Neurospora crassa OR74A: one gene and its partner. The protein of the gene in region 1 binds, or shares a complex with, the protein of each later gene. Links are inferred from orthologs where the notes say so. Each region holds a gene or a part of one and is shown on either strand. Other genes may lie near its edges.

Evidence for each region.
Region 2: NCU08960 (region 1) and NCU03635 share a complex: the UniProt entries of both Saccharomyces cerevisiae proteins name them as parts of the large ribosomal subunit. The link is inferred for Neurospora crassa OR74A from reciprocal best matches to the Saccharomyces cerevisiae genes RPP1A and RPL38.

Annotation. Positions count from the first base shown.
Region 1 is NC_026505.1:5,819,997-5,829,196, reverse strand, and holds NCU08960 (60S acidic ribosomal protein P1), read right to left. Parts: upstream 4,361-9,200; 5' UTR 4,235-4,360; coding exon 4,166-4,234; intron 3,924-4,165; coding exon 3,846-3,923; intron 3,741-3,845; coding exon 3,605-3,740; intron 3,514-3,604; coding exon 3,467-3,513; 3' UTR 2,654-3,466; downstream 1-2,653. Other genes in the region: NCU17038 (hypothetical protein), read left to right, coding at 1,110-1,634; NCU17037 (hypothetical protein), read left to right, coding at 4,361-4,555, 4,612-5,058; NCU08959 (hypothetical protein), read left to right, coding at 5,531-5,744, 5,815-6,203, 6,260-6,426, 6,482-6,881, 6,940-7,110; NCU17036 (hypothetical protein), read right to left, coding at 7,528-7,575, 7,896-8,127, 8,280-8,338; NCU08957 (hypothetical protein), read right to left, coding at 8,961-9,200. UniProt on the Saccharomyces cerevisiae protein: Component of the ribosome, a large ribonucleoprotein complex responsible for the synthesis of proteins in the cell.
Region 2 is NC_026505.1:1,905,825-1,913,969, forward strand, and holds NCU03635 (60S ribosomal protein L38), read right to left. Parts: upstream 4,868-8,145; 5' UTR 4,753-4,867; coding exon 4,723-4,752; intron 4,640-4,722; coding exon 4,606-4,639; intron 4,523-4,605; coding exon 4,394-4,522; intron 4,291-4,393; coding exon 4,241-4,290; 3' UTR 3,947-4,240; downstream 1-3,946. Other genes in the region: NCU03633 (mevalonate kinase), read right to left, coding at 1-793, 880-1,179; NCU03634 (hypothetical protein), read left to right, coding at 3,200-3,901; NCU03636 (hypothetical protein), read left to right, coding at 5,451-5,502, 5,560-5,693, 5,769-5,852; NCU03637 (CaaX prenyl protease Ste24), read left to right, coding at 6,562-6,576, 6,651-6,833, 6,892-7,638, 7,700-8,143. UniProt on the Saccharomyces cerevisiae protein: Component of the ribosome, a large ribonucleoprotein complex responsible for the synthesis of proteins in the cell.

The DNA of each region.
Region 1 (9,200 bases):
AAAATCATATGTTTGCTTCTGCTTCCACATTCCCTTGACACATACATATATACTGCGTATATATATTGAAGAGCGGCAGGACGTGGACTGGACGTGCCGGGATACGCATGACCAGGGGGGGAAGGGGGAGGATGGCGTTGCCACGTGGATAGCACATGGAAAGCGGGCGGGCGGGAGGGATGGATGGATGGATGGATCATGGGAAGCATGGGAAGCGGGAGGGGGGGATCATTCAGACAGGGCTTGCTTGCTTGCTTGCTTAGACAGGGGATGTTTACAAGGATTAGAAAGAGCTTTGTGGGCAAGATGAAAGGGTAGCCGGACGGACGGACGGACGACACGGGGTGGTGGTGGTGGGATTGCGGAAGTGTACATGGGATGGAAGAAATGTCGTAGGAATGTTGTGGGAGTATTGGAAATTGGGGATTTGGTGCGCGGGATGTGTGCGAGACTTCCTAGTCATCTAGGTAGGTACTTTTTTTTTTTTTTTTTTTTTTTTTTTTTTTTTTTGGTTGTTTTTCCTCTGGTGATTCCATGATTAGGTGTAGGATGAATAGACCTTTAACCTTTTATCTTTTTCGGGTCCTCCGCTCGTTTTATGGCCTTCTGCACCAGCTTCTCCCTCAGTTTCGTCCCCCTCATATTCCCAGTAACGAGTAGCTGTTAGTGGATCAACACCAACAACACTTACCTATCTACGATTTCAGTCCTCGCTTGCTTGCTGAAATACAAAGTCTCTGCACACTTCTTCCTCTCTCAGCCAGCCGAGGTTAACCCTGCCTGTCGAGAGATCCCCAAGATATATATTTCGAACCCGGGACCACGCCAAACCCAGGGCACTTACTCGGAAGAACATCCAGTGTCCGTCCATATTCCCATCCTTCATCTGCTCTCTCATACTCCCTTTCAACTGTATCTCCTAGTGCCAGAATTCGAACCAGAACCAGGTCTAGAGCCGGAACTACTCCTCCTCGAACTCAATCTCAAACCATAAACACTCGAACATCATCATACCGCCGGTACCATCACTGTCGTCCAACAAACCTTTAACAGGCAACAAATCCCCACCCACCATCTCAGGAGGAACTCCCTCCGCAACATCAATCCAGATGGAACCCACCACTACTACTACTACTACTACTACCACCACCACCAAACCCATCACGCAACCCCTCAATGCAGAGGATTCCAAACTGGACCACCTCTTTCCTCCTCCTGCTACTGTCATTACTACTCAGTCGATGGAGACTACTCCCGCTGCTGATACTTCTCTCAAGACAAACACGGGGGCTAATACGAAGAGATGTCAGTCCAAAAGACTTCCACCACCACCATTTGGCAAGACGACATCCGACAACGACAACGACAACGACAAAGGAAGTAAGGAGAGTAATAATAATAATAACAACAATAACAATAACAATAACAATACAGAGGCGTATAATGCCTTTTGGGGCAAGTTGATTGGGATTACACCCGACAACAACAACAACGACAAAAGCAAGGAGAATAATGATAATGATAAGAATGAAAATGATGATGAAAATAATAATGAAAATAATGATACAGAGGCGTATAATGCCTTTTGGGGCAAGTTGATTGGGGTTGTCCTGCCGAAGGATGGTGGTGATTAGAGGTAGGTGAGGGAAGGGGAAGGGGAAGGGGAAATGCGGAGAGGGGGACACAGGGAAGAGGGGACACAGGGGAAGGGGAAATGCGGAGAGGGGACTGGACACAGGGGAGAGGGGTCACTCAGGGGAGAGAGAGTGTGTGTGGGTGTGAGAATTTGTAGGTAGATGTTGGGTTTCTAGGTCAGGTAGGGCAGGACTTGGACATGGACATGGACCTGCTCTACTGTGGAGGAACAGGTAAAGATGCATTATGGTCGGTTTTTTTCTTCTAACAGTTCTCTTGACGGTTTTTTTGATACCTAGTCATCAGAGGTAGGTCGGTATAGTGGAAATTGTTATCTCGTTTTGCTTCGTTGGGGTTGGTACCTCAAGCCAGACAAAGTAGGGGCACGCCGTATTGGGGCTGTAGCCAATCAGTCAGTCAGTCAATTAGTCAGTCACTTGGCCTTCAAAACACCAACATCCATGTAGGCTTCATTTGTCCCATGTTGTCAGTCAGCCAAAAGGCGATATAGCAGCTGTATTGATTGCCGTTGCCGTTGCCGTTGCCGTTGCCGTTGCCGTTTGCTGTCCTGGCTGCGAAGTGAAATGTGAAAAGACATTTGGGTATTACTGACTGCATGCAGATGTTGCGGAAAATAGGCATGAAGAACCAACATGCCTCCAACGAGGGGGAAGCATATCGAGTTGTGTACGGTCTACTATGTAGAGATGAGACGGGTAATTAAGGATGCATCATCATGGGCGGTTCTCTTAACTGTGGTTTGGCGGTTAACTTGATGATTTCAGCCCAGTCGTTTTTTAGGCAAACCGGACGAGTTTCTCTATCTTTATGCATAAGCAGCTCTGTTAAGGTGGAATGGATATCTATGAAGAGTTAACAAGAAACATACTTTTGGTAAGCCAGCAGTGTGGTCGAGTGTCTTCAGTGATGGTGCTTGAAGCTTCGGTTCCGTTATGAACTTCCCTTATCTTATCAAGTATATGAACCCACATCTGCAGTAGACACGGCAGAAGACGTTCCAGCTAGGGTTCACAAAGTTATATCGCAGGATCGTCATAAAGCGGGACGAGAGACGACATATTCGACGACTTTGATTCGGCGCCTGTACTGTGAGCCTTCATCCGTGTTGACATAAGGCTGTACTGTTTGCGTCTGGTCCCCTTATCTTATCGCCAGGCACGCTGTTGACTTTCGATAAGATCTACGTCTGGGATCAGTGGGATACGAATCTGGAGATTGGCATGGGAATGGAGTCATGGCCAGCAAGGTACACACGAGGCTGTGCGAAATCAAAGTGAACGCGACTGGAGCGCGTCGCAAACGGAGATTGTGTTGACAACTCGGGGTGATGTTTGGGTTTCAAGAAACGCAGGTGAAGATGACGTCGTATCATGACAAAGTAAACAAACACGAGTCGTAAACACTAGCCCAAGTTGGAATCAGTAACAGATAATTTGTCTTATCTGCCTTTTCTTGAGTTTGTACCAGCTCATCTTCCAAAACGGTGAGCAGGAACCTCAGGTCCGGGTATCAATCGACCATCAAGATCCGGGCGCGCTGTCGGTCGTAGAGTCGGATGTCTGCTACGGTGGAAATCCGTCGCTTCAACAAGTGGAGAGCAAGCTTCCAAGTGTTTTTACTTCTTTTGCTCAAAAGCGCATCTTCATTGTCCGTGTAAAGCTACGCCGATGAACCGAACCCCTGATATCATAAGCCTCCCATAACCGAAGTCGTATGTGCGAGAAACCGTCGCAGACCCATGCAAGCTTTGGAAGAACAAATTGGAAACGAGAGGTCATGACCAAACCAGAAGAAAGCCCCCTTTCTTCGCTTAGTCGAAGAGACCGAAGCCCATATCCTCGTCGGACTCCTCCTTCTCTGTAAAGTGCAAAACGCAGGTTAGTAACTAGCAGCAGCAGCAGCAGCAACAGCCCCGGGAAAGAGCTTGGGAGTAGATGATTCCACATACCCTCAACCTTCTCCTCAGCCTTGGCCTCCTCAGCGGCACCACCAGCGGCAGCGGCGCCAGCGGCAGCGGGGGCAGCGGCGGCACCACCGGAGCCGACGTTGGAAAGGAGGTCCTTCACATCCTTGCCCTCAAGAGCCTATTTTCGCAAAAGAGACTCCAGTCAGTTTATCGTGTTCGCGTTTCTCTCAAGATATCGTTTCTTTTTTTTTTCGGATTGTCGTCGTCGGTGGTTTCATCGTACCTTGGCGAAGAGGGAAGCCCAGATAGGCTCGACATCCTCGATCTTGGCAGCCTTGATGATGGTCTGGATCTTGTCGGCCTATATCATGCGAAAACGGGTTTGGTCAGTCAACATTGTTCCTCCCAATGTGCTTGTTCATATCACTCATTGTCCTCCACTCGGTTTGCCCCTCAATCCATGTTTCGTCATTTGTCCCGGTCGTTGAAAGCGCATGTCGAGCAATAACCGTGTGTACATGGCGCGCTTGAAACTGTCCCCAAACCCCGAATCCACCCAAATCTTGCCAACCAAAAGATCATGTGCATTGGTCGCAAACTCACAGTGATCTCAACGCCGTCATCGGCGAGGATGAGCGCCGCGTAGGAGGTAGCCAGCTCAGCAGTAGACATTTTGATGGTGTTGATTGTCGAGGCGCAAAGATGCTGAGTCTCGGGAGGGCTGTTCGATCGTGGGATGATGTCCTAGCTAGAAATTCGCGGGAAGTGAAATTTAATTAGTTGTGGGCAATTCAAAAAATGCCCTGGGACCCTACAAAGGCGGGCAGCTGGCAAGCGACTGGCAGCGGCTTGGATGCCAAGACTCTTTTGAGCTGCCGTTCTGCTTTTTGCCTGGTCTGTGCACGCTGGGAGATGGAAATGCAACAGCCCCACGATGTCACGGTCCAAACCAGCGGTTCAGTTCGCAACCCGAACCCGAGGGTTGGTGGTACTGTAGGTAGGACTGGGTGCAGGGCAGTGCTGCCCTGACTGCCGCTACCGCCCAACAGGCACGTGCTGGCCTCCAGGGCATTGCCGTCCCTCGCACTTGTACCGGATCGGGACGACTGATGTTCCCCCACCAGTTGACCATAGTGTATGGCCTGGAATTTGGGGAAGCACCTCATCGATTCAGGCCGGGCAGTTTGGCGCCCAGCCTTGCCAAGACGAGTGCCCTGGTCCGACAAGCTTTCCGCCAGGCCTCGACCCTTGTCGGCAAGAACCCCACCATTCCTTTGGCACTACACTATCTACCATGGAGCTCCTTCGCCCCGCCGCTATTCATGCATCCACTGACGTCGCCGCTGTGGATTCGGGGCGCCATAGGCCTCTTCTCCTGCCGTAGCGGAGTGCCTGCCGACACGCCAGCCCGTCCCGTCGGGTTGTCTCTGAGAAGCATCCATCTGCACCTATTTCAGCACTCAGTCCAGCAATTCCGCAAAAACCAACAAGAGTGAGATCAACAAGGGAAAGCGCACGAATCAGGAGGCAGCGTTCATCACTCTTGTCAACTCCTCCGTCGGAAAGGGGAAATACCATAGTACTTGGAGAAACGCCATCAACCGGACAAACAACTGAACTTGCATCCCGCTCTCTTTGCCATTGTTGAGGCGCATTACATTACATAGACCAAGTCTACTCCTTGGATCAAAGAAAGCTGGACTTGGACAAGGAATCGCCCGTTTCCAACATTCATTCCCTTGCTCCGGCAACACCATCCTTTTCCCAATTGCTTGGCTGCGTCTTTCCCATTCTCAACAATCCTTTCGCGCCTTTTCTTTTCCTTCAACCAACATCGACCCTCGAACGGCATCATCCAAGTAACGAAAACGAGCCAACTCTCAGACATCGCAACCGACTTCACCGACTTTTACCCATAAACACCCAACACAAAACAACACAACACAACACAATAAACACATAGCGACAATGGAGACTCCGGCGATGCCCATGCCGAAAGATGAGCGGGAACAAGCCATTCTCGACAAGCTCTCAGCCATCCGCGATCAGCTGCTGCTCCTCAAGAGAGACCGAACAAAATACATCCGCACTCAGGATGTGATTGTACACTATGATCAGGTTGTCGAGCAGGTCAAGGAACTCAACGAGATTAGGAAAGGGGAAAAGGTGACCGAGACCAGAGGTACGCCCATCCTCCATAGCCCATCCCAAGCTGCCAATTGAACAAGGAAAATCTAACACCACCCCCGTAGTCGACAGAGTCCTCGAGAGCTGCCTACAGCTCCTCTCCCTCTTCTTCATGACCATCGGCCGCACACAAGAAGCCCCTGCCGCCTATGCGTTGACCTCGACCATCAAGCGATTACTCGACCACCTGACCGAGGCCGACCTCTACTCAGCCAAAGACCTGAACAGCATAGCCCACACCCTCTCGCAGCTCGACAAGATCATGACGGCCTCGGACCCCTCCGCCCACTCGCCCTACATTGTTGAGCTTTTGGCCAACCGGCTGGAGCTCTGCCATAGCTCGCTGGATAACCTGAAGAAGAGGGTGGACGAGCTGCAGGACCCGCTACAGAGCATGCATGAGAGGCTGATCTCCATACTACGGTCCATGTCACTTGCGAACACCAAGGCCAAGGTAAGGACGCACAAGGGCGGACGGATACGAGAATGGTAAGCTAACAGGTCACACAGTTTTCGGCATCAGAGGTCCAGAGGCTACAAGCGCAGGTCAAGGAGATTGACGAGTCGAGGGTGGATGGCAACTTTGTCGGGCCAGACGGCCAAGTTCTTCGTGGTAGCGAGAGGGTATCGCGCCTAGTGGATGTCTGCCTCAGGTGGTCTGACATTGTTCTTGAAAGGTACGTACAACTATCCCACATTTCACTGCCAGCCAGTTCCTGACCCCCACCTTAGGAAAGGAGTTATCCCCGAGGCCTTCAAGGCTAGGCACGAGCAGCTTGTCAGCATCCGTAATGAGCTCGAGAAGCTGTCCATCACCCAGGCCTGGTCACTGCGCGAGACGGACCTGTACGACTACCAGCGCAAGCTCGACAAGATAGATGAGAGCCGAGTGGATGGCAACTGGCTGGACGACGAAGGAAAGCCCGCCGAGCTGTACGTCCAGCGTACGCTGCTGTACCTCATCAGGAGGAGCTATGGCTACATCTACTACCTGATGATCTCGTCGGAGCCGGTATCGGAGGCTCTGCTGCCCATCTATAACCAGCTCCAGACGCTGAAGCGGTGCCTGATCGAGGTGAAGGACTCGGGCGGTGTCAGCTCGGTCAGGGAGCTGTATCCCTACAGCATGAAGGTATGTTTGTCAATCTTTGCCCCATGGGCACTGGACAGTGATTAACGTTGGATTACAGCTCAACTCCATTGACAACATGCGCGTCGATGGCAAGTTCATGGTTGGCGGCGATATACCCGAGGGCCAAGGGAGCGTCAGCGCTTTGCTGGCTGAGTGCTACGATCTTTCCTATGAGTTGAAGGTCATGGCTGAAGAGATGGAGGAGAAGGAGAAGGATAGCTCCTCGTAATCGATTGACCCTGAGCGAAAGTTTCGATATCATAGACTTGAGGGCTTTACGGCATTTTGTACTGAATAGTTGTGGTTTCCTTTTGTTTTTTCTCATCCAGCGGCGTCTGCTTTTACTTATACACAATATGGGATGTTGAAGCGAAAGGACTCTTCACCACCAGATACGCTGCATCATTTCTCTATTGTTGGCTGACAAGCTCGCAGCTAAAACTTGACTTTTTGTACGTTTGTCTGGCGATGAGATCATTACGGCTGCTCCCTCCCCTATCTGATCTTTGATGCATATTACCTCCTTATATTACCTAGAAGCAGCACACAAAAGAGAGCACAATGTCGGTCCAAGGAGCATGAAGAGACGCGTGAAGGCTTAATGCGACTGCAGTCACAGCTTCCGTTTGTCGAGGGTTGTTTTGTCTCACGCCTCCCGCCAATTGTCCGTTCCTTCCATGATATCTTCGAGTCTCTGCTGTTTCTTAGTTCTTACGACAATCGCATCCACGTTGCATATCCATTAAGCTGTCGCGCCGCCTTTCTACTACCTTGTCAATCCTTTCCCATCTTTTACTTTCATCTCATCACCGCACACACACACACACACACACACAGAGAGAGAGAGAGAGAGAGAGAGAGAGAGAGAGAGAGAGAGAGAGAGAGAGAGAGAGAGAGAGAGAGAGAGAGAGAGAGAGAGAGAGAGAGAGAGAGAGAGAGAGAGAGAGAGAGAGAGAGAGAGAGAGAGAGAGAGAGAGAGAGAGAGAGAGAGAACCATTCTCCTCGGGAACAAACTACCCTGGAGAAAACATGCTGAAATTTGGAGAATCCCGTCCCAGCGTCTTTGCTCTTGCTCTTGTTCTTGCTCTTGCTCTTGCTCTTGCTCTTGCTCTTGCTCTTGCTCTTGCTCTTGCTCTTGCTCTTGCTCTTGCTCTTGCTCTTGCTCTTGCTCTTGCTCTTGCTCTTGCTCTTGCTCTTGCTCTTGCTCTTGCTCTTGCTCTTGCTCTTCCTCGAAAGAGAATAATTCCTGTGTGACTGTACCGTGACGTTGGCAAACCGACGAAATGAGTGAGGGAGTGAGTCGAAACACGGGAAGGGGAAGACGGACGGACGGACCTCTTTCGTTGACCGGGGAAGTATGGAAGGTGGCACGGTGACGGTGATATTGAATGGTCTAACACGTGGATGATTTCACCGAGGCAGGCGGACGAAAAGGAAGGAAAGATGTATGTAGCCATGTAGTCTAGAGCAGGATGGTGCGTGGGCAATGGCAAGGGAGTGTTAGCTCCGATGCTTGATGGATGAACTACGTTAAATGGTGGCTTGGGAAATTTGTCTTTGGGCGATGTGTCTGTATACGGTATGTCTCCGTCAGTTTACATGTTGATGATCACGTAACTGCATGCTTGGATATGGTCTAGTAGAGTTTAAGTAAAAGCAGTTAGGTAGTATTGGTATCAAGCTATATCGACTAACTGACGAGAACATTATCAAAGGGAGAGACAAAGACAAATCCCATTACACCCATCATCACCCATCTTTAACATCAACACAACATGTCAAACATGAAGGCATGGAAACAAACATAACGTCGTATCTAAATAGCAAGTCATCAAAAGGTAAAATCATAAAGAAGAGTATCCAAAGCAAGAAAGAAACTGAGAGAAAAGAAAGAAATGACAAAGTAAGAAAATGATCATTAATCATCATCAGTCATCGTCCCATTCCATCCCATCCCATCCCATCCCATCGGTATCCATCATCTTCGTCCATCATCATCAACCATTCCATCATCAACACCATACTTAGGTACCCAACATCAACTCGTCAGACATCCAGCACCACCACACATCACACCCGTTAAACCCCAAGTTTCGCCATCCCCAACCTCCTCCTGCTCCTCCTCTTCGGCTTTGAACTTTCCACTCCCACCTCACTACCCTCCATCAACCGTCCACTCAACAACCCCATGACCAACCCCGCCCAACTTCCTTTACCCTCCAACACCCCCTCCACCTTCCTCACGATCCTGTCTACCGCCTGCGCGTCCGTCCCGCTGACACCCCACTGTCCCGTACCAGCGATCTGCTTGAGTCCGTT
Region 2 (8,145 bases), about 3.9 Mb from region 1:
GTGCAGAGCTTTGCGTGACCTGGTCGATGGCCGTCAAAATGGTGCCCACCAGCTGCGGGTGCTTCTTCTTCAGCGTGGCCACCTTGGCAACCTCGTGCGCCGTTGACTTGGCCGTCCTGGTGTCCACGAGGAGCAGCGGGAGCTTAGGGAAGTCCCACAGGGGGCGCACAGAGGGCGGCTGGTTGTAGTCTGTCCGTTGGAAGACGACCGCCTTGCCCTGTGTTGATACTGTGTTGTCCACGCCCGAGGGGTTGCCGTGAATGAACATCTCGTAAACAAATGCCCACCGGTTGATGCGCTCAATTTGTAGCCTGGCCTCCTCGGGAGGTTGGTCGGGGTGAGGACCGGACAGTGTCCGAAGCTGGAGCAAGAGCGCTGCCGACAAGCATACTGCGATGGTCGCGCTGCTGCCCAGGCCGGCTCCGATGGGAATCGTCGAGCGCAATGTGTACTGGCAGCCGGGGAACGACTGTGAGCCAAGGGAAAGGAACATGTAGAGGAAGGAGCCGGCCGAGTTCTGGTGCACCTTGCGAATGTCGGCGGGCTTGTCTATCGAGACATCGGCGAGGAAAGGTTGTACGGCGTCAACGAGTTCTTGGTCAATCTCGGTGACGAGACTGTAGTAGTACTTCTTTTTCCCTGGTTGTTGGAAGATCTTCCATGGGAGCTCGTCGATATTCCACGAATGATTGAAGTCGATGTCAGGGAATTTCAGCGTAACAGTTCTCTTGGACTTGGAAAGCGTGTTGACGAGCAGGTAAGATCGCAGCGAGATGGCGGCAGCAATCGCAGCCTGGCGAAGAGAGACAACCGTTAGCCTCTGGGAATCATTACCCCCTTTTCCAGCATCACCATGATCTAGGTGCTTGATCGACGTACCTTGCCGTGAACGACTGCGTGCTCTCCAAACACAATGACTTTTCCCGGTGCCGAAACCATGAACGTCGGCATCATGGGACTGGACTTTTTGCGTTCCATTCTCTGTCGTATGGGTGTTAACATGCTGTTGGTAGGAGAGCCCCCGTTGACGGCGCTGCTGGCGCTTTCTTCAATCGTCACTCTGAGACCATTGCTGGGGTTTCCGTTGACGGCCTCGCTCGCATCACCATTTACGGGTTGGTTTCTCTGCTCGGACTCGGAATGGAATCCATTGACTCCGTTGTGTTCTTGCTCTGCCATGGTCAGAGGTGGTTTTCTTTGTGCGTATGTTGTACGTAATCGACCCGAGCGTCCCTCGGTCTGTGTTCGGCGACAACAATACCAACAATGCTAAGCGGGAGGGGCCCTTCGGAGAGGGGCTCAATATACGAATCCGGCGCAATTGGGTGAACCGTGGAATCGCCAACAAGATGATGGCTGAGTACTAGTTCACGTTGAGGTAGAACTGTGCCGAGATGCCGATCTGATGAAGAGCGAGTCGGCGTAAGGCAACCGAAGCTGCCTAAATAGGTAGAGATATGTAATATATCGAAGGCCTAGAGAAATTGGGGGCTCAAGACGACAGATTGGTCCCAAAGCAACTGAGGGTATCGCAGCGTAGGGATGTTGGTAAACAAGCGGGCGAGATGGAGGTTGTTGATGTACTGCCGATCTTTTTCTAGCTCGAGTCTGCAAGGTCCAGATGACGGATATTTAGGCGGAGGCTGCGAACGAGTGCAATTGGTGTTCCTGATACGCCAGACGACCACAAGTTACACAAGGTGACAAGTCCCAGTATGTTTGCGATGGAAGTAATCTTGCAGACGTGCCGTGTTGAGGTTGCGCAAAGTGACAGTTTGAAGGCGGCGGGCGCTGTCACGGTGTGTACAGACTTGGGTTGATTGGGTGCCGAGGGGTTGCCAACTTGAGATTGCAGCAACTGCGGCGGAGAGAATGTACCCCGTTACGTGGGGATAGCAAAGCCAGAGGCGGGGAGCTGTTATGTACTCCAGCAGAAGAGGGTCAGTGGGCTCTGATATCTCGCTCTTTTTTTTTTTTTTTTTTTCTTTCTTTCTTTCTTTCTTCTTCTTCGTACTTTACGGCAATGGTGCCTGATGCTATTCTTCTTTCTCCTGCTGTCCGTTACGCCCGAACCTAAGCTATCTACGCCTAATCAGAACTCTTTGCTGTTGGAAATCTCAGCCCACACGCCGAAGCCGTTACATACTTTCCACGCTGAAAAGGGGTTGTCATCATGGACTTTGACTGACAGGGGTGGAGGCTTTTAGCTTTAGATTTCCTTCTCACGGCCGCTGATTGGCGCTTTCTGGCTTCTCAACACGACGCTAGCTTCCGGTGAACTGGACAACGCCTCGAACAGGGAGGGGGGAGCATCGGGAGATCACAGAATAACAGGGGCTCAGGACAAGGGGAGCTCTACAGTTCTGCTCCCCAAGCTCCTCACTCAACTGACAGCTGCCCCATCGTCAGTTGAGTCTAGACTGCAAAGGCGGCGTGTGGCATCACCCAGAAACTCGCTTGGTCCAGGACAAACATCAGGCAGAGTCTTGGAGAACAACAAGAGGCTTCAAAAGTCCAAATCTTTGCCAAAGCTTTGAATTCCAATTGACATACACTACGTCGGATGGTCACCTGAACTTCCCCTTGTCTCGTGGGTTTGTTAGCTCATTCCTGGCTACATATCTCTGGGGCCTTGATGACAGCCTCATTAGTGGGTGGGTTCGACATGTTTGTCGAAGTGCATACATGAGTTGGCATCATGCACCGAAACCCGAACACTGGCGATGCCCGACTCTATCAAAGATCGTGGGCCCATTTCTCGTCATGTATACGACATCAGCAGGGATTTGATTAAGACTGTCCAGAAGAGTCGCAAGAACTCATTATCGCATCCATACCAGTGTTTCTTCTTACATACATCTAGCCTCAGATGACGGCCGGCAGAGCCTCTATTGATGTTGGTTGAACGACAGGGCATCATAATGATTCTGTTCTTTGGGAAGTGGGGACGCGGATGGCATGATTTATAAAGCAGGCGCATATTGTCTACTGTGTATGGTGTCCCAACTGTGCCGCATGATTACGAATTTGGAGGTAGCCTAGCTTGCGTTTCGTATCGTCCCGAATGAGCGAGTCCGAATGAACTACAACCATCACACATAAAAGCTGTGTACGGATTCAAGTTTTGCTGCATTTTGAAGCGTTCAGACCGCCAAGCTCACAACCTGGCTTTATCACTAACGCAGAACATATTTCGACGATGACTGTCACTGAAATTGCCATCATCCAAGTACACACCGGGATCACCGACTCTACCCTCCGAGATACCTTCAGCAGGGCCATCACTGCCCAAGATGCATGGTACGCTCGCGCCTTTCCCGACCGCCCCTCTTCCGCCTCGGCACGGGCCGTGGCTTGTTTCCGGGGGATCGACGACGAGACGCAGATACTTCTAACAACGAGTTGGGGCTCGGTGGAGGAGCATTGGGCATGGATCCTCAGCGACGATAACAAGCAGCAAATGGAGGGCTCAGACTTGACCAAGATCATCGCAAATCAAGGGCCGCCCAACCAGCCAGGCGGACTGATTCTTTTCCACTTGGATACGAACATCTTTGGGAATAACCAGGCCACTACCGCCAAAGACGTGATTGCACTCCTCGATAGCCCGGTCATCAGTGTCGAGAGATTCTTGGTCGACACTGAAAAGAAGGAGAGCTTTGCCGCAACGCTGCAGAAGGTGGAGGCGAGTATGGAAAAGGTCGTGCATCCTCACTTGGTCAGAAGCGGGCGCAGTGTCGATCGCGAGACGGGAGGTGAGGAGTTCGTATTGGTTTCCGGGTGGTCCTGTGTCGAAAGTCATACGCAAGAGTTCGTTGCGTCGTCTCAATCTTTCCTGTACAGTCAGCTTGCTGGTATCGCTTCGTCGGTGGAAACACAGCACTACAGACGGTTCCTGTAGTGCCCTCTTTGTCACTTTGACACTTGGTTGGGAAAATGCGCAAGTCTGGGGTCCAAGAATTGGTCGCTCATGAATGTGTATTCAGACCCTCTGCAAGGGGTTGGTTTGCGGTCGGTGAGACCTTGACAACTAAAGAGTCATCACGCTGCTCCGAAGACCTGCACCTGCTCTCGCAAGTACTCCTGTTCCCAATCCCATGAAGGTTTCCCCCGATCCGAGAACGCCGTCTTAGTTCGCGAGAATTAAATGTCCAGCACCAGAACCAGGCAGTTGAAAATCGTCATTCACTCGCTTCCCGTTCGCGCCAAAGCAGCCATCAGTTCCTCATTGTCGAGAGATTTAAGCAGTCTGCTTCTTGTTGCGCTTGGCAACGTCGGCGATGGTCAGGGCTGTAGTTTCGCATGTCAGTTCCATCCTTTTCTCGCAACTGCTTTTTTTCCGGTTTGTCCATCTCTCTCTCGAGCTATTATTCGGGGGTCGGGGAGCGCGTACAAGGAGGGAGGGAAGCCTTGAGCTTCTCAGCCTTGTCGGAGTCCTTGAGAACAAGGGTGTAGAGGTACTTCTGGCAGCGGACCTTGAACTTGATCTGCTGAGTAGCCTTGTTCTTCTTAATCCGGGCGGCTGTTGGATCAAAGCGTCTCTGTTAGAATTTCGTTCGGTTTTCGCTACGGTGTTTTCTCAGGCAGGCCCTCAGCCAAACGTACCGGAAGCGTCCTTGCGCCGGCAGATCTCGATGAACTGTAGTTGAAATCAAAGTCAGCAAAACAGCCCATTTGCACCATGCATGCACAAATTCAGCATGACGACGGGCATTTCCGTACCTTCTTGATATCTCCGATTTCCTGAGGCATTTTGGCGACTTGGTGCTGGACTTCCCGTACTTGTGGTGACGACGACAACGGAGTTCAGGAGCGTGGATGAATTTTAGGTACTATGGAAATAATTTTGTGTGGGTTTGGGGCCTGGGCGGTGCGAGTGGCTTGGTGGGGATGCGTGCGGGCAATGGGCCGCTAACGCGATGCACCCTTGTTTCCGCTGTCACTTCCGCCAGATCACACCTGCCGACGTTAGCGCAAGCTCCAAGTGTGGCTGATGCTGCACTTTTGGTAACTGCGTCGACTTTGGGAGATGCAGTGACACAGGGAGCTCGTGTGGCGTCGACTTACCTCAGTCGCAGGCAGTCACCATTAGACCATCTGGAACATCTGACGGGATTGCGCGGCAGTTCGCCTTCAAGCTCGGTCGCATCTGGTCGAGGCCTCGGGAGGACACGATTCCAGTTTGTGTAATCCAGATAGTATATAATCAAAAACTAATCACGCGGTCCTAATTGTAGAGCTTCTTTTGTTCCAAACCAAGTGCCACCTCATCAGACAACTCAGTTAGGGCGTTAACGTTTTGTAGTAGTGCGTCTACCCCTCTTGCCTTACCACCACTTATAACGAAGACAACCCTTTTCCGAACTACTCGATATGCCCACGGCACTAGATAAAGCGTTGAGATCACGAGTGAGTACCTCTTCACAACAACACAACATCCCGAAGCAATCATGCTTGTCGAATCTCTTCTGATAGTTTCCGCGAGCAAGAACGCATTTCTTGGTGAGCTTCTTTTTTAACAGTCGGGCAGTCGACCGAAGCTTGACTAACCCCACATAGCATTCGCCGGCATCGTGACGGGTGTCGCCGCATGGTCTATCTTTGGAGGCGAAGTGTTTCCTCAAGACCAGGCTGACCCAAAGGGCAATCCTGAAGAATGGACTCGCGAGGAGATGCGCAGATGGCTTGCACTGGTGAGTTTTCAAGTTTGTTAGAAGCTGACGCAGAACTCGAAGCTAATGTTGTGAGCTAACTTTGATGATCACCAGCGTAATCTTCATCCACAAGATTCGGACACCCGGGAGCAGTTACTGGAAAGGATCCAAGCGAACTTGAGAATCCCAAGACAGTGAACTGGTCGTGCTGGAGAAATCGGAGGAGCCCTATGATATGTTTATACCCCTTGAAGAATACCTAGCCTGCATTTATCTCTGTTCCATGTTCTTGAGGACATTACTATCTTCATAGCATGCTGCCCGGCGATGGTGTCGTCAGCTGGCTAGAGGACACATGGCTGTTGAATCCTGTTCTCCCATCGTACTTGCATACTCGTGATCCTAACCGCTAAATACAAGATCATAAACCGGAAGCCACACGATATGACTACATACTATAGACATCGGGAAATGCGCCTTGATGACAACAGGAAACACTGTTATGTTCGGAGATCTGTAGGGTGACCCGGCAACATGCGAACAATCCAGCGTTGCGTCCGGGTTCGCGGCGGGGGAACCTCTACGACCGGGCTTATCGATAAGATTTACCGAGCGGGGCGAGCGCAAGGAGAAGTAGCCCGACCCAATCAGCATGTGTAACTTCTAGTGTTGGCGACTGCGCCATACACAGCAGGGTACGTAGCGGTACATGCCTGCAAGGAAGCTCCAAGCGAAACTGGGGCAAGGACAGGTTGTTGTTACTGTTTGTACCTTGCCTGGCATTGTGCTTATAACCAATGCGGCGGACAATCTGACACGGTCTTTTGGCTTTCATTGTTCCAACAAACAAACATTCCATTTGCGCATTCGGCGGAGCCTCTAGTAGACACGCCCTTATTGCGCGACGATGGAGTTCCTTCAGGTACGTTTTGCGAAATCCTTCTCCTCTGACATCCAAGGCGTGCACCGGCTAACATGGCACTCTCAAAACGACAGCGTCTCGCGAGGTTCCTCGACCGGCCTCTCTTTCCCTGGAAGAAGCTGATCATCGGCTTCTCCCTCGCCAACTACTTCATCGAAGGTTTCCTCGGTTATCGTCAGTATCAGGTCCTCAAGAAGACCAAGGTCCCCAAGGTGTTGGAGCATGAGGTGTCCCAGGAGGTCTTTGACAAGAGTCAGGTACGATATCCCCTAGGCTACGGGCCAACCGGCCACCATTCTCTGACACACGATACAGGCATACGGACGCGCCAAGGCAAAGTTCGAGTTCTTCAGCGGTATCTACGGTCAAATCCAAAACATCTTGTTCTATCAGTTCGACGTCCTCCCGAAGCTATGGTCATTCGCCGGCAACCTCCTCGTTCGGTTCGCGCCAGCCAGGTTCTCCGGCGAAATCTCGCAATCTATCGTCTTCGTCCTGTCCTTTGTCGTCATCTCCCAGATTCTCTCGCTACCGACTAGCCTCTACCACACTTTTGTCTTGGAGGAGAAGTTCGGTTTCAACAAGTCGTCTGCCAAGCTTTGGATTACCGACAAGATCAAGTCCCTCTTCTTGACCTTCGTTCTCACGCCTCCGATCCTCGCCGGCTTTTTAGCTATCGTGCAAAAGACTGGAAACCAGTTCTTCTACTATCTCTGGGTTTTCGTCGCTGGTCTCCAGGTTGTCATGATCACCATCTACCCGATTTTCATTCTGCCTCTGTTTAACAAGCTCTCTCCTCTTGAGGAGGGTGAGCTCAAGAGCAGCGTGGAGGATCTCGCCAAGAAGCTCAAGTTCCCCCTCTCCGAGTTGCACGTCATTGATGGCAGCAAGCGCAGTGCCCACAGCAACGCTTATTTCTTCGGCATGCCCTGGAAGAAGCACATTGTCATTTATGATACCCTAATTGAAAAGAGCGAGACCCAGGAAGTTGTTGCCGTTCTTGCACACGAGCTGGGTCACTGGAAGTTGGGTCACACCACTAGTCTCTTTGGCATCTCCCAGGTAAGCTGATGCTGCTTTGTTATCCCGCTGTTTACCACGAATTGTGATTGACAATGCATAGGCCCACTTCTTCGCCATTTTCTCTCTCTTCTCCGTTTTCATCAACAACAACTCCCTTTATGCCGACTTTGGCTTCCACACGGTGCACCCTATCATCGTTGGATTCCTTCTCTTCTCGGACGTCCTTGGCCCTACCGACACCCTCATCAAGCTGGGCATGAATGTTCTCAGCCGCAAGTTCGAGTTCCAGGCTGATGAGTTCGCCAACAAGCTTGGCTACAATGCGGAGCTCGCTCGCTCCTTGATCAAGCTCCAGATCCAGAACCTCAGCACTATGGATGCTGATTGGATGTTCGCCACTTACCACTTCTCGCACCCCATTTTGACCGAGAGACTGAAGGCTCTCAACTGGCAGTCCACTGGAAAGGTTGAGGGCAAGGAGAAGGCCAAGGATGGTGAAGAGAAGATTGATGTTGCTACTGCCACTGGGCGGGATGAGCTCTAAGC